3 linked regions of the Arabidopsis thaliana genome follow. The protein of the gene in region 1 interacts with the protein of each later gene in a pairwise test. Each region holds a gene or a part of one and is shown in the gene's direction. Other genes may lie near its edges.

Region 1 (6,270 bases):
GGTTAGGGATTTAAGTGCTTGTGATTGTTGAATTGTGGAAGAAAGGAGAGATTTTTCATGTTAATGAAACACTAGTACATATAGACGTTGTGAAGTTTGTTAGCCGTGATTCTATTGGATATTATTTCTGTACTAAGAGAGCATTAGCTAAAATTTCTGACAAGCTTAACTAATTCCAATTGTGTGAATCATTTGCATCATTGCTGATATTTCCTAACTAATATTATGAAAGGTTGAGGCTCGTAAGTTTTTTGCTTATGAACACATTTTTTCAAGGTAAGTTTCTCAATCTTCATGTTGTTGAAACATATGATTCCTAGAGTATCTCTACTCGTACCCCTCTCATAAATCATTGTGTTTAAAGCCGAGCATCTGCATGATATGTAAGGATCTCTTGCGGTTCTCTTCTTGAGTCTCCAAACTCCAGTTGAGATCCCTGGTGTTAGCAATATGGATTTTCTCGAGAATATAGTATTTGATGCTAGGAACAGAAAACCTGGTCAGCCAAAGATTGAGCCAATGTAGGTGTCTTCGCGCATTAGTCAGTTAGATGGTTTTGGACTGTTACTTAGTTGATGGTGCACACTCATATATCTGATATAGAATTGTGTTCATGCAGTTGGAGGATTTAGAGGTGGCGAAAAGAAGCATAAAGAGATTCTTCCATTTCCAAGCGCAACACATGATAAGAAAGGTGAGGGTTTTCTTACCTTATTTTCCGGTCAATGGAAGACACACACTTGAATACCGTCATTTCCCTTTCCCACACTTGTTCTCTATTAGTGTCATAAACAGAATGCCGAATAGGTTACTTTTCATTTTATAGTCATGACTAGGAAATTTTGTTCCTCATAGCAAGATATGGAAACAGTTGTCAATTTAATTTCGTCATAGTGAAAAGGATCAATCAAGGAACAAGTACGGAAAAGATTGAGAATCTCTGTAATAAGGATCATCTGTTTTTGGAGGTCCTTGGATGTTTACTTGATCAGGACGTGGCAGAGGCAATGAACAGACTTTTGTCACCAAAAAACGCTGTTGTGATGATTGATAATCTACTATCAGAACATACTGCACTACATCAAACCAAGTCTCATACACATCATAGTGAGCGTCTTTGCCACAAATCATATCTTCTTAAATACTGATTCAAACCACCATCTCTTGATAACAATAGTGAGCTTCGTTTTTGTTTTAGGCAAGCATTCTTTCCATATCAAATCAATAACAGAGTGTCCAGAGATTCATACCGTTCTATTGCAGTAGGGACATCTCATTGGCTTATCTACTGGAAAAAGGAAGGGTGCTTGAGTGTTCCGTTAGGACCAGCAAAAACAATGGAAAGTGGTGATCATGATGTTTAGAACACCAAACTCGCCGTCTCTACAATATTAGTTCTGGTCTAGGTTTTGATCTTCAATAATAGCTGTGGTCGGAAGGAGTAATTAGGGTAAAACATAAGGGCGAAGACAAGAATGTGTAGAGCATGTGATTTGTTCAAGCTTTAACATGTGGATGTCTTATTTTTAATGACTGCTCTTTAATATGTGGGTTTTGTTTGCGCATTTTTCACTTGCGGGTTATATTTTTCAAAAGTAGTAAATGATGGGACCATTATAAAAAGGATGTTATTAGGACTCCAGAAAGGAAATTGATTTTATGGAAAATCACCTTTTTACCTCAAAGTTTTAATATATTACTAATTAAGTACCCTTACATAAGAAGCTGCGTTGCCAAGATTGAAGAGGGTGGTGGACTTTGTAATCAAAGATTAATTAAAAAGAGAGTTAAGACAAATCTCAGCGGAAAACTCGGCGGTGATAGATAATCAAAACAAAAGAAACGCGTTTTTCAAACTGGTTCAATCTTCTTCTTCGTCTTTCTTCATCGTCTTCTTCTCTATACAGACCTTGACTCTCTCATTAAATTAACAAATGTCCCTACGGTTTATGCAAGTGTAGTGCTATTAAACTATCCCTTTTATTTTCCCACCCAACTCAATTTATTTTCTCATTCTTTCTCTTTACTCTTCTTCAGATCTCTCTGTTTCTTTCTTTGTTGTTGTTATCTGGGGATGCTTTCTACTCTCTGTTTGGTTTCCTTCATTGTGACTTTCTATTTTCTGGGTTTGTTTCAAGTCATGATTTTTCCGATACCCTTTTGATTTTTCTTGCTATTTCTCACCTCTGTATAAGCAAGCTCTCTGCTGTTTCTCCTCATCCAAGTTGGGTTTATCAGTTCAGCTGTGTAGAAATTCAATCGTCTGAGAAGTCCGAGGTTTGATGTCTGATGGTTTTAAGATCGAAAGGATTTGACTTTTATCAGATTAGTAATGAGATTAGATTGTTTTTGAGGTTATTGTAATCAGATCTTGATGCTATTTCTGGTGAAAGAGATTTAAGACAAGTTAGGGAATGGGTAATACTTGTGTTGGACCAAGCAGAAATGGCTTCTTGCAATCTGTTTCAGCTGCAATGTGGCGGCCAAGAGATGGAGATGATTCGGCTTCCATGAGTAATGGAGATATTGCAAGTGAAGCTGTTTCGGGAGAGCTTCGATCTCGATTATCTGATGAAGTCCAGAATAAACCTCCTGAACAGGTCACAATGCCGAAGCCAGGGACTGACGTCGAGACCAAGGACAGAGAGATTCGAACTGAAAGCAAGCCTGAAACGCTAGAGGAGATAAGCCTTGAGTCCAAACCAGAGACTAAGCAGGAGACCAAGTCAGAGACCAAGCCGGAGTCAAAACCTGATCCTCCAGCTAAACCTAAGAAGCCTAAACACATGAAGAGAGTGTCAAGTGCAGGGCTTAGGACTGAGTCAGTGTTGCAGAGGAAGACTGAAAACTTCAAGGAATTCTATTCCTTGGGAAGGAAACTCGGACAAGGGCAATTTGGGACGACTTTTTTATGTGTCGAGAAGACTACGGGGAAGGAGTTTGCCTGCAAGTCGATTGCTAAGAGGAAGCTATTGACTGATGAGGACGTTGAGGATGTGAGAAGAGAAATTCAGATAATGCATCACTTGGCTGGTCACCCTAATGTCATCTCCATCAAAGGAGCTTATGAGGATGTTGTGGCAGTGCACCTTGTAATGGAGTGTTGTGCAGGCGGCGAGCTTTTTGACAGGATCATTCAACGCGGTCACTACACAGAGAGGAAAGCGGCTGAGCTCACTAGAACCATTGTTGGGGTTGTAGAGGCTTGCCATTCTCTTGGTGTTATGCATCGAGACCTCAAGCCCGAGAATTTTCTGTTTGTCAGTAAACACGAAGATTCCCTCTTGAAGACGATTGATTTTGGACTCTCCATGTTCTTTAAACCAGGTTTGATTTCATTGTTACTCATCTTAAAAGATCCACTTCCAGATTTGGTCTTTAACGTGAATAGTGTGATCCTTGTCGAACAATTATTTCTGAACTCGATTCCCTTCCTCTTTGCAGACGATGTTTTTACAGATGTTGTTGGTAGCCCATATTATGTTGCCCCAGAAGTTCTTCGAAAGCGTTATGGCCCTGAAGCTGATGTCTGGAGTGCTGGAGTGATTGTGTACATTTTATTAAGCGGAGTTCCTCCATTCTGGGCTGGTAAGAATTGTATATATACAGATAAGAGATTTGTCACTTTTCCTAACTAGGCTCTGAACAACATCTCTAATCTTTTTGTTTCTTTGAACATTCAGAAACCGAACAAGGTATTTTCGAACAGGTCCTCCACGGTGATCTTGACTTTTCGTCCGATCCATGGCCAAGTATATCTGAAAGTGCAAAGGATTTAGTGAGGAAAATGCTTGTCAGGGATCCCAAGAAAAGGTTAACTGCCCACCAAGTATTATGTAAGTTATTTTGATCTGAAACCTTCTCTTCCAGTTAAAGCGCTGTGATTCTCTTTCTGTTAATTCCATTGAGCATAGATTTCACTACATGAATAAAGTGTGTTGTCATGTAGAGTGATCTACCATCGTTCTATCTCTTATGGAGTTGTGCTTCTTCTCAGGTCATCCATGGGTTCAAGTCGACGGTGTGGCTCCAGACAAGCCTTTGGATTCTGCTGTTCTGAGCCGTATGAAGCAGTTTTCTGCAATGAACAAGTTCAAGAAAATGGCTCTTAGAGTAAGCAGCTTTCCGATGCTAAACAAAATTTAAAACCATATAAAAGAAGTTCCTGTCATAAACATAAGATAGCTACATTTAACCCATCTTCCTCTTGTTATGTGGAAAGAAAGAGACGACGGAGATTAAGTTTCTCTCTTTATGCCTTTTTGCAGGTCATTGCTGAGAGCTTATCTGAAGAAGAAATCGCCGGCTTGAAAGAAATGTTTAATATGATAGATGCGGACAAGAGTGGTCAGATAACTTTCGAAGAACTGAAAGCAGGACTAAAACGAGTAGGGGCGAATCTCAAAGAGTCTGAAATTCTCGACTTGATGCAAGCTGTAAGTTTTAACCGGCATACCAGTTCCCTAACTAAGATTCTGAACTGATCTTGTTATCATTCAAACTTACTCTGTTGGTTGTGGTTATATACTTCTGTTTTTGCTAGATATGCAAGTAATCTGGTTTCTCTCTCATGTGTATATAATTCAGGCTGATGTGGACAACAGCGGAACAATAGATTACAAAGAGTTCATAGCTGCAACATTACATCTAAACAAAATAGAGAGAGAGGACCATTTGTTTGCAGCCTTTACATACTTTGACAAAGATGGGAGCGGCTATATCACCCCAGACGAGCTTCAACAAGCTTGTGAGGAGTTTGGTGTTGAGGATGTCCGCATAGAAGAACTGATGCGCGATGTTGATCAAGACAATGTAAGTTCCTTTACACCTTTTATCATCTCATCCTAATTATAAAATGACTTGAATACTTCTCAACAATGATCAAATTTCAATGGATTATATACATTTTACTCATAGGAATCTCACTTATATGATCCTCTTAAATCCTTGCATTATTAAAACTACACTTCACTTACCGAGTTTTCATGTCTGTTTTCTTGGGAAAACTGAGACGATTGAGTATGATTCTTGTTAAACCTAGGGGGATAGTAGAAACTCTCTTTCCTGAGAAACAGTGAAGTAAACCGAGTTTTCATGTCGGTTTTGGATTGATATATTGGTTGAATGTTGATAATGTTGAACATTTGAATTGTTGTATTGTAGGACGGGCGAATAGACTACAACGAGTTTGTGGCGATGATGCAGAAAGGAAGCATCACAGGAGGACCTGTGAAAATGGGTCTAGAGAAAAGCTTTAGCATTGCTCTTAAACTCTAGTTTCTCAGTCTATTTAAAAGTACAAAACTAAAGCCAAGAAGACAAAAGAGTTTTCTGATAATATATACCATTTTGATTATGTTGAAGACATATGCACACAGCCAAGATTCTCTCTTGCCCTCTTTTGGATTCTCTCAATCTTTTGGATGAGGTTTTGTCTTAGACTTGTTTTGGAAACTTTGTTGTATTGTGTTACTTCTTGAGCATATATAGTCTTCTAACATTACAAACCACGATTTCTTGTCTGTAAGTAAATTCAAAGAGTCAAAAAACTTGAACACGATTTGGAAATTTTGCGATAACGATCATCAAATTTTTGTGAGGGCTTTTTCTTGTAAAGCAAAAAGTTTGAGTATTTATGTGAAAATCGTTTAAAAGTTGAGGTACTTCTATGTAATTTCCCAGTTTTCTTTTTTTGAGAAATAAAATAACTTAACCGAATTTCAATTAATTTGTTGTCCGAATTATATAATTCAAGTCCTTACCGAATCTAAGCTGAAATCAAATTAAATTATAAGCAGATAATTAAATTGGTCACCGAAAATAATAGCCACCAAACCTCCTAATCCTAAACACGTAGTATTTTGAGATCTTTATTTTCCATTTACATAATTAATTTCTTTTTTATGATTGGAAAAAACGAATAAAATGATCTTTTAGCTAGTGTTTTTGGTCAACATAAATACCTAACTTACTCTTTAGAACAACAAAAAAAATGGAGGAAAAATATAAAAGTGGGTCTCACAATCAAGTTATTTCTCCAAAAATAAATAATTTAAAGCTTGCGTTTGTTGTTGACATTTAAAAATGTTTATTTTGGGGTACGACTTTTTAATTTATAAAATTATTAAATTGGTTTTATTTAAATAAACTGATTAAATTGTCTATTTCAAAACTGCGTCCCTATCCCTTTTAAATTTCCTAATTTCAGTCCACAAAACGTGATCATGATTACTGTATCATAAAGTTTTATTTGTGTAGGGGTCTAATTGT
Region 2 (4,083 bases), about 25 Mb from region 1:
TATGAAGAGGATAAAGCAGCTGCTGCTGCTAAGGCTGGATCGGATTTAGTAGATCCTCTTCCTAAGAATGGAACATAAGAGAACAACACTACAGGCATTGAGGATATAAGCAAATGTTTTATTCTTCTACACAGAGAGATCGTTATCTTCTAGAGGGATCAATGAATAAAAGCTTCGTCCATTTCTAGCTGGAGATTCCATGGATCTCCAGTTAGTGCAAGTGATACACGTTGTCTACATTTGTACCTAAGTTTCTGCATTTTTTGTCGTTCTTTTGTGTTAGACAAGTCTTGGACCCTAGATGATACTTCAGTTTCTTAGACGTTAAATTTGATGAATCCGAACTTGTTTGATTTCAAAGCCTGGCCTTTCTGCAATGTGTTTTTGTGCATGTTCTGGCTTGTTTGTTGTTACTCAACGCAGGATTTGTTATAATATGTACAATATATCTAGTACACACATAAGTCAAGCAAGTAAGACTCCGTGGCCCAATGGATAAGGCGCTGGTCTACGAAACCAGAGATTCTGGGTTCGATCCCCAGCGGAGTCGCTCTTCATCTACTATTTTTATTTTTCTTACGCGCATTGCTTATAAAAGTTTTTTAATGAACGTGGGATAAAAGTTTTCAGATTCGTATTTATTATTTCAAAAAGACAGATGACCTAACCTCATTACTCGTGTATGGACTTTTTTTTCCTTCAAATTATATTTTATGAAATTTGAGTAGACGAAGTAACTGCTCCCCTTCAGATTTAGCTAAAGAGCCAACCACGTGAAGTCGTGAATCCTCTCTGTCGTTTTCGTATTAACAAACATAAGAAATTAAGAAATGAAAATCTCGTTTTCTTATGTATAATTGTTTTATATCGATCACCGGTTTCTCTAGGTCTAGGTATAGCTGTTCCAATATCATGATTTTTAAGTTTAGTTTTCAACATCATTAAGTAAAAGTGTGAACTCATTATCATCATCGCTTTCCCTTTAGAATTTTTGCAAACACACGAAAATAAATAAATTGTTTGGACATATTATTGAGAAACATAGTCAAATGAGCCCGTTCACATTCTGAATCATATAAGTTACAGTCCCAAACCCACGTTTTATTAAAAATGTACTACTAGTCAATAATTTATGTTGAGTCATATTTATTTATTTTGACACAGTTGGTTTTCGCAGTTTCTTGTTTATTAGTTTCAAATTGCACTTATTAGTTTTAAAAACAATTTAATTTGATATTTGGTATAATATCTCTTTTGAATTATTTACAAACTTTATTACAGCCTGGTTTTGAAAAAAAAAAAATACTTTGCATAATTGCTACTTTGCTAGGATTACTTTATAAACTTTTTCAGCTTTGATTCATTTAACATTAAACCCAATTAAAATATTTTATTCATTTTAGCATAAAAGGGGAAAAAAAAGAAATATATATATATATATATATATATATTTCCTCTTTTCAATTAAATCAGCTGTTAAAAGTGGAAAAAATCAAAGAGATATCAAAATATTGATTAGAAGAATATGTCCATATTCAATTATTTTATATTATCTTTATTAAATGCTTTACCTTACAACAATAACTTAAATAAATTTTTGGGATTCCCGTTACATTACTTAAGTAGGACGACGTGCGTCTGCTTCGTCTCATTACAAAGCAGAAGAAACACAAACAGAGGCAGAGATCTTAAGAGTTAAAGACTAATCCCAACAATGGCGTCTCTCAAAGTCCCAAGCAATGTTCCTCTTCCCGAAGATGACGCCGAGCAACTCCACAAGGCTTTTTCAGGTCTCTCTCTTTTTTTTTCATCACTTGATCGGGATTTAGTTTCTTCTTATACGATCTCTAATCTGTAATCGGTTTCGTTAATCACAAGATTAATCATTTTTGATATCTTAAGTACTCTCCTATACTCATCGTTGAGTATTATTTAGTTTGTTGATTTAATCACAACTACATTGGTGATTCGGGATTTACTCTTGTTTGACCTGATCTGTGTTCTGTGTCCCACCACAAGATCAGGATCATGTCTTCTTATATTAGATACAGTCCGATGATGTCCTAATTGATTGATTATAATGAAAATATGTTTCTTTTTGTTCTTTAGTGAACCAAGATTATGCTTGTTTTGTGTTCTCCTTGGGAGATTTGTGACATGACAAAATGTTTGTTTTTTGGGTTTGGTCTGAAACAGGATGGGGTACCAACGAGAAGCTGATCATATCAATACTAGCTCACAGGAACGCAGCACAACGCAGCTTGATCCGCAGCGTTTATGCAGCTACCTACAATGAGGATCTTCTCAAAGCATTAGACAAAGAGCTTTCTAGCGACTTTGAGGTATTTTTAACTCTTTTCTTTCTTTCTTTCTTTTGGGGGTCTCTGAAATGATATAGTGACTGATTTAGGATTGTGAAACTGTTGTATTTGGTGTTTTTTTGTAACAGAGAGCTGTGATGTTGTGGACTCTTGATCCACCAGAGAGAGATGCTTATTTGGCTAAAGAATCCACCAAGATGTTCACCAAGAACAATTGGGTTCTTGTTGAAATCGCTTGCACAAGGCCTGCTCTTGAGCTTATCAAGGTCAAGCAAGCTTACCAAGCTCGATACAAGAAATCAATCGAGGAAGATGTCGCGCAACACACATCTGGTGACCTTCGTAAGGTAATCATTCAATAAACCAAATCTTGCTTGTTTGTTTTGTATTTGGGACACATGTTTCTGACATATTTGTGTGTCCTCTTTTGTATAGCTCTTGCTTCCTCTTGTGAGCACTTTCAGGTATGAAGGAGATGATGTGAACATGATGCTTGCAAGATCTGAAGCTAAGATACTTCACGAGAAGGTCTCAGAGAAATCTTACAGTGACGATGACTTCATCAGAATCTTGACAACAAGAAGCAAAGCACAGCTCGGTGCAACACTCAACCACTACAACAACGAGTATGGAAACGCCATTAACAAGGTTAGCTTAACCACCAACTGCTTTTTCATTTGATGTTACAAAATCTTGTTCGGAAAGCTTATTATATGAAGTGAAATTTTTGCAGAACTTGAAGGAAGAGTCGGACGACAATGACTACATGAAACTACTAAGAGCTGTAATCACATGTTTGACATACCCTGAGAAGCATTTTGAGAAGGTTCTTCGTCTATCAATCAACAAAATGGGAACAGACGAATGGGGACTAACCCGAGTCGTGACTACACGAACTGAAGTTGACATGGAACGCATCAAAGAGGAATATCAGCGAAGAAACAGCATTCCTTTGGACCGTGCTATCGCCAAAGACACTTCTGGTGACTATGAGGACATGCTTGTTGCTCTTCTCGGACATGGCGATGCTTGAAACTGTTTCAACTTTCGAGTTCCTCCTTTCTCTTACTGCATGGTTTGTTTTAAATAAAAGAGTTGTGAAACTGGTTCTGCAACTATTTATCAATGATCGTTTGAGTTTGTTAAATTTGAATCAAAATCTGTTTTTCTTTCTTTTAAATACAATCTAAAGCACAAACTAAAGCAAAAGCCTCATAATCTAAGCAACTACAGCTTCCGCAATCTCTACTACTACACACACAACAAAGCTTCTCTGTTTTCTTGTCATTCTTGATCAGCATCTTCTCCATTTCTTCTAAAGCTTGGACCTTTAAAGCTATCTTCAACAACAAAGGTCTTTCATCTTCCAAAACCCAATTTTTGGATTCACCCATCACCACAAGTCTCTCAATCTCCATGCCTGGCGACTCGAAAACCGATTCCCAAGAAACCTCTCCTCTCCCAACAACCTCAGATTTAGATGATTTCCTAAGAAACGTCGATATTTTCTTCCTCCGTAGTTCAAAAACGACTCTCTGTTGCTTCAATTCTTTGACAGCTGCTTCGTCCCCTTGACACTCCAGACCAAAAGATTGATCCCACATGAGTTGGTCTGATTTCGAAGAGAGCTCTCTCGTGTTTACTTCGATCTTTCTGTTGTGTCCTGCAGAGAGATAGAATCTAACGAACAGAGTACTAGCTTGTGACTTGATCTCTACGTTTCTTGCTTCTACTATTCTCACTTGGCATTTTAGTGAACGAA
Region 3 (3,866 bases), on another chromosome or scaffold:
GCAATGATCCTTAGGAGTACTTCCCTCCAATGAATATTATCTTTGTTTATTGCTTCTTGGGCATGCTTATCAATCGTTTTATTTTTCTGTAGTCTAGACTCTAACTCAGCTCGACGAGTCATACAAGTAATGTGATCATGGCTGCCTTTGTGTTCTTTGAGTCGCTTTGAAAGATTTCTCCAATCATTGTACCCGCTAGTTGCCAAGTAACCACCTTTTTTGTCATGTCTCAACAACTTACAACAAAAACAAAAGACTTTAATCTAATGCTTTTGAGTAAATCAACCATCTTCTATCTTGTTTCTCCCCATTCCTCATTTCTCTTATGTAAAATGTTTGAGAAAAATGCCTACCAATACTATCTTTACGAAACCGGTAATTAGTTGATAACCTTGTCGCTAGACCCTTTTCAACTAATAAATCTCTGAATCTCATATTCATGTCATCCCAATTTACTGGATCGGAAATATTGGAAGGAAGTTCTTCTTTCTGCCCACTTTTCTTCTCTTCATGAACAACTTCATCTTGATCTTTGTTATCAAACTCATTCTCATCCACTTCATTCGTCATCCAAACTGTCCACATTATTGTTGTTATCAAGCATCTGCTTGGAGGAGCCAATGTAGGCATGTGCTCTCTCTTCTTGTTATCAAGCATCTGCTTGTGATATTTTTGTACAATTAAGCTAACATAACTTTAACAAAAAAAATCTGTAATAATAAGTTTATATGTACAATCTAATTCCAACAAATCAAATACTAAACTAAATATCATTGATCAACTAATTTTTTTATTTCCTAAGAACATATCTCTTTAAAAGAATTGTTTGAAGTTTCTTCCATTAGAATAAGTCTTGTGAAAATTTTATTTATTACATCATTAAGTAAAACTTCTTTTAAATTAATAGGTTAAACAGTCTATATATATTTAGTTTTTTTTTTTGAAAAATAAAATAAATTGCATAAAATAAATTGGCACTAATTTTAAAATAAAACGTTCTAAAGATATTTTTTATACAATATATAATAATTAATAACCTAACAATTTCTTTCTTTTTTAACAAAACAATTTCAAAATTCAACTTAAAAAAAAAATTGCTCAATCAACAGAAATTACAAAATGCCAATATGGACGTAAAAGGTCCATTAAGGAATCAAAATACAACAAAGTAACTTTTTCCACATAAAAATAAACTAAGGGCATCTCCAACGCACAGATACAGTATGAGTTTCTCAATTCTATTTTTTTAATCAGTTAATAATAAATATATTATTTATTTAAATTTTATATTATAAAGACAAAATCTGACCAATCATAAATAACAAGGGGTTGAGTTGGGTTTCTCATAGTTTCTCATATGAGAAACGTTTCTCTTTCTTTCTCCACCTTTTTCATTACTTTTTATTTTTTTAATCTCCAGATACTCATTAAAAAACTGCTGTTGGAGATGACCTAAAAACCGACCCAAAAAGTATCAGAAAATTCCCGTGTACAAAATTTAATCCAACGGTCCTCCTTCCATCTCCTTTCGCAATCGTCGCTCCCCACTCAAACAAAAACCAAAAAAAACAAAACTATCTTTTAAACCCCAACAAAAAAAAAATTGAAATTCGAAAACAGAACAAAAAAAAAAATCTCTCTCAATCTCTCTCAGATCTGAATCCATCCATCACCGATCTCTAATGGCGGCACCACCAGCATCATCCTCGGCGAGGGAAGAGTTCGTGTACCTCGCAAAGCTCGCAGAGCAAGCGGAACGTTACGAAGAAATGGTTGAATTCATGGAAAAAGTCGCTGAAGCCGTTGACAAAGACGAACTCACCGTCGAAGAACGTAATCTCCTCTCCGTCGCTTACAAAAACGTAATCGGCGCTCGTCGTGCTTCCTGGAGAATCATCTCTTCCATTGAACAAAAAGAAGAGAGTCGTGGTAACGATGACCATGTGACCACGATCCGTGATTACAGAAGCAAGATCGAATCTGAGTTATCGAAAATCTGTGACGGTATTCTTAAGCTTCTTGATACTAGACTTGTTCCTGCTTCTGCTAATGGAGATTCTAAGGTTTTTTACCTTAAGATGAAGGGAGATTATCATAGGTATTTGGCTGAGTTTAAGACTGGTCAAGAGAGGAAAGATGCTGCTGAACATACTCTCACCGCTTACAAAGCTGCTCAGGTTTATTCTCCGATCTGGAATTTTGTTGGATCTCATTTCTAGGTTAAATCATGATTTGTGTGAATCTGTGTTTCTTTTGTTTGTTTGTAGGATATTGCTAATGCTGAATTGGCTCCAACGCATCCGATTCGTCTTGGTTTGGCTTTGAATTTCTCTGTGTTTTACTATGAGATTCTTAATTCTCCAGATCGTGCTTGTAATCTCGCTAAGCAGGTGATGAGAAAGTTTCTGATCTATTTGGGATTTGAGTCATTGTGTTGGTACTACTCTATGTGTATTGATATTGAGATATAACAGGCGTTTGATGAAGCCATTGCTGAGTTAGATACTCTTGGAGAGGAGTCATACAAGGATAGTACCTTGATCATGCAGCTTCTTCGTGACAATCTTACTCTCTGGACTTCTGACATGCAGGTAAACGATCGAAACGAAACCGTTCTTTGCTTCATCGAAACTGCTGATAATGGTTATGATAGAATAGTTTTGGAATTGTCCACCAACATAGTTCATTGCTGATAATGGATATGATAGATAGGCTTAGTGGCTCATGATGCTGGAATTGTGCACACACATTGTTCATAAGCTTTGAATCAGATGGTTTAGTTTTGCATTATGTATGATAATACTCTCATGAGCTTCTTGGTCTTGATCTCTGATTCTGTTGTGTTAATTTCGACGATTAATCAGGACGAAAGTCCGGAGGAGATTAAAGAAGCAGCAGCACCAAAGCCTGCTGAAGAACAGAAGGAGATCTAAGTTTGTGGTTTCTTTTTTCAGTATTCTTAAGTTATGCAATTATAATTATGTTTCTGCTTGGTGTTTATTTTCTAATCTTTCCTTTGCTATCCCCGAAGCTTCTAAGGCCGTCTAATTCTTGTCCTTTGTTTGCTTTTCTCAATCGTGGATGCTACTGGATTTCTGTTTTGTTTTACTTCTTCTCTTGATTGATTGCATTTCCCGGCTTATGCCTTGTACTTGAAACTCAGTTTTCTCTCTTATTAATGATTTGCCATTCACCTGGTTATGCGTTTTTGTATACATGTGACTGCGTTTGCAATTGTGTTTTCTGAGTTTGCTTAGGTTATGCACACACAATTTACGCTGTTTGAGAATGAGCGCTTGCTAATACTGATACAGATTATTACAGGAAACACTGACCTCAAAATTTGCGTGAATTTCGATGAGATTTGCGTAGGAATAACAAGTGTTGGGCATATAGGTTTGAATCAAATGGGACTTACCAAAGTTTGTATCAACCTCGTTCACCAGTTATTGTTTTGCAGACCTCAACCAAAAGTTAACATGAACGAGGTCAATACCTCTCAAAAGCTGATTAATTGATAGCATCACTCATAGTAAGGTAGAGATTAATGTTCAAGAAAACGTTAGGCGTTAATTGGGCGGTAACCCAATGCAACGCTTCATCGGGTCTAAACAGTTTTAGGCGGTTAAAGCGTTTATAGTATAAAATATTATAAATATGTTATTATATGTAAAAGTTATTTAAAACATAAATTAAAAAATAAAAATCTTAAATTTACAAAACAAAAAATAGATAAAACGTACATTAATTCATATCAAACAACATTTGAACATTAAACTATATATATGAAGACAAAATTTAACAAATTTGAATTTGAGTAATTAAAATTTGGAAAAAAATATTAAAACGAAGCATATATAATCTTA

Evidence for each region. Proteins that work in one complex are often made in the same cells at the same time.
Region 2: the proteins of CPK1 (region 1) and ANNAT2 interact in a protein complementation assay, tested with the Arabidopsis thaliana proteins (one large-scale study listed by BioGRID).
Region 3: the proteins of CPK1 (region 1) and GF14 PHI interact in a protein complementation assay, tested with the Arabidopsis thaliana proteins (one large-scale study listed by BioGRID).

What each region holds. Positions count from the first base shown.
Region 1 is NC_003076.8:1,416,022-1,422,291, reverse strand, and holds CPK1 (calcium dependent protein kinase 1), read left to right. Parts: upstream 1-1,737; 5' UTR 1,738-2,414; coding exon 2,415-3,327; intron 3,328-3,444; coding exon 3,445-3,588; intron 3,589-3,683; coding exon 3,684-3,836; intron 3,837-3,997; coding exon 3,998-4,113; intron 4,114-4,268; coding exon 4,269-4,436; intron 4,437-4,587; coding exon 4,588-4,812; intron 4,813-5,163; coding exon 5,164-5,277; 3' UTR 5,278-5,728; downstream 5,729-6,270. UniProt on the Arabidopsis thaliana protein: May play a role in signal transduction pathways that involve calcium as a second messenger. Phosphorylates the Ca(2+)-ATPase ACA2 resulting in the inhibition of its calcium activation.
Region 2 is NC_003076.8:25,972,201-25,976,283, forward strand, and holds ANNAT2 (annexin 2), read left to right. Parts: upstream 1-1,603; 5' UTR 1,604-1,714; coding exon 1,715-1,790; exon of another isoform or gene 1,791-2,165; coding exon of another isoform or gene 2,166-2,196; coding exon 2,197-2,342; intron 2,343-2,449; coding exon 2,450-2,668; intron 2,669-2,756; coding exon 2,757-2,969; intron 2,970-3,054; coding exon 3,055-3,354; 3' UTR 3,355-3,496; downstream 3,497-4,083. Other genes in the region: ASN2 (asparagine synthetase 2), read left to right, coding at 1-78; AT5G65030 (nitric oxide synthase-interacting protein), read right to left, coding at 3,497-4,083. UniProt on the Arabidopsis thaliana protein: May mediate regulated, targeted secretion of Golgi-derived vesicles during seedling development.
Region 3 is NC_003070.9:12,865,582-12,869,447, forward strand, and holds GF14 PHI (GF14 protein phi chain), read left to right. Parts: upstream 1-1,544; 5' UTR 1,545-1,682; coding exon 1,683-2,177; intron 2,178-2,267; coding exon 2,268-2,390; intron 2,391-2,474; coding exon 2,475-2,591; intron 2,592-2,780; coding exon 2,781-2,933; 3' UTR 2,934-3,309; downstream 3,310-3,866. Other genes in the region: AT1G35150 (General transcription factor 2-related zinc finger protein), read right to left, coding at 1-228, 392-657. UniProt on the Arabidopsis thaliana protein: Is associated with a DNA binding complex that binds to the G box, a well-characterized cis-acting DNA regulatory element found in plant genes.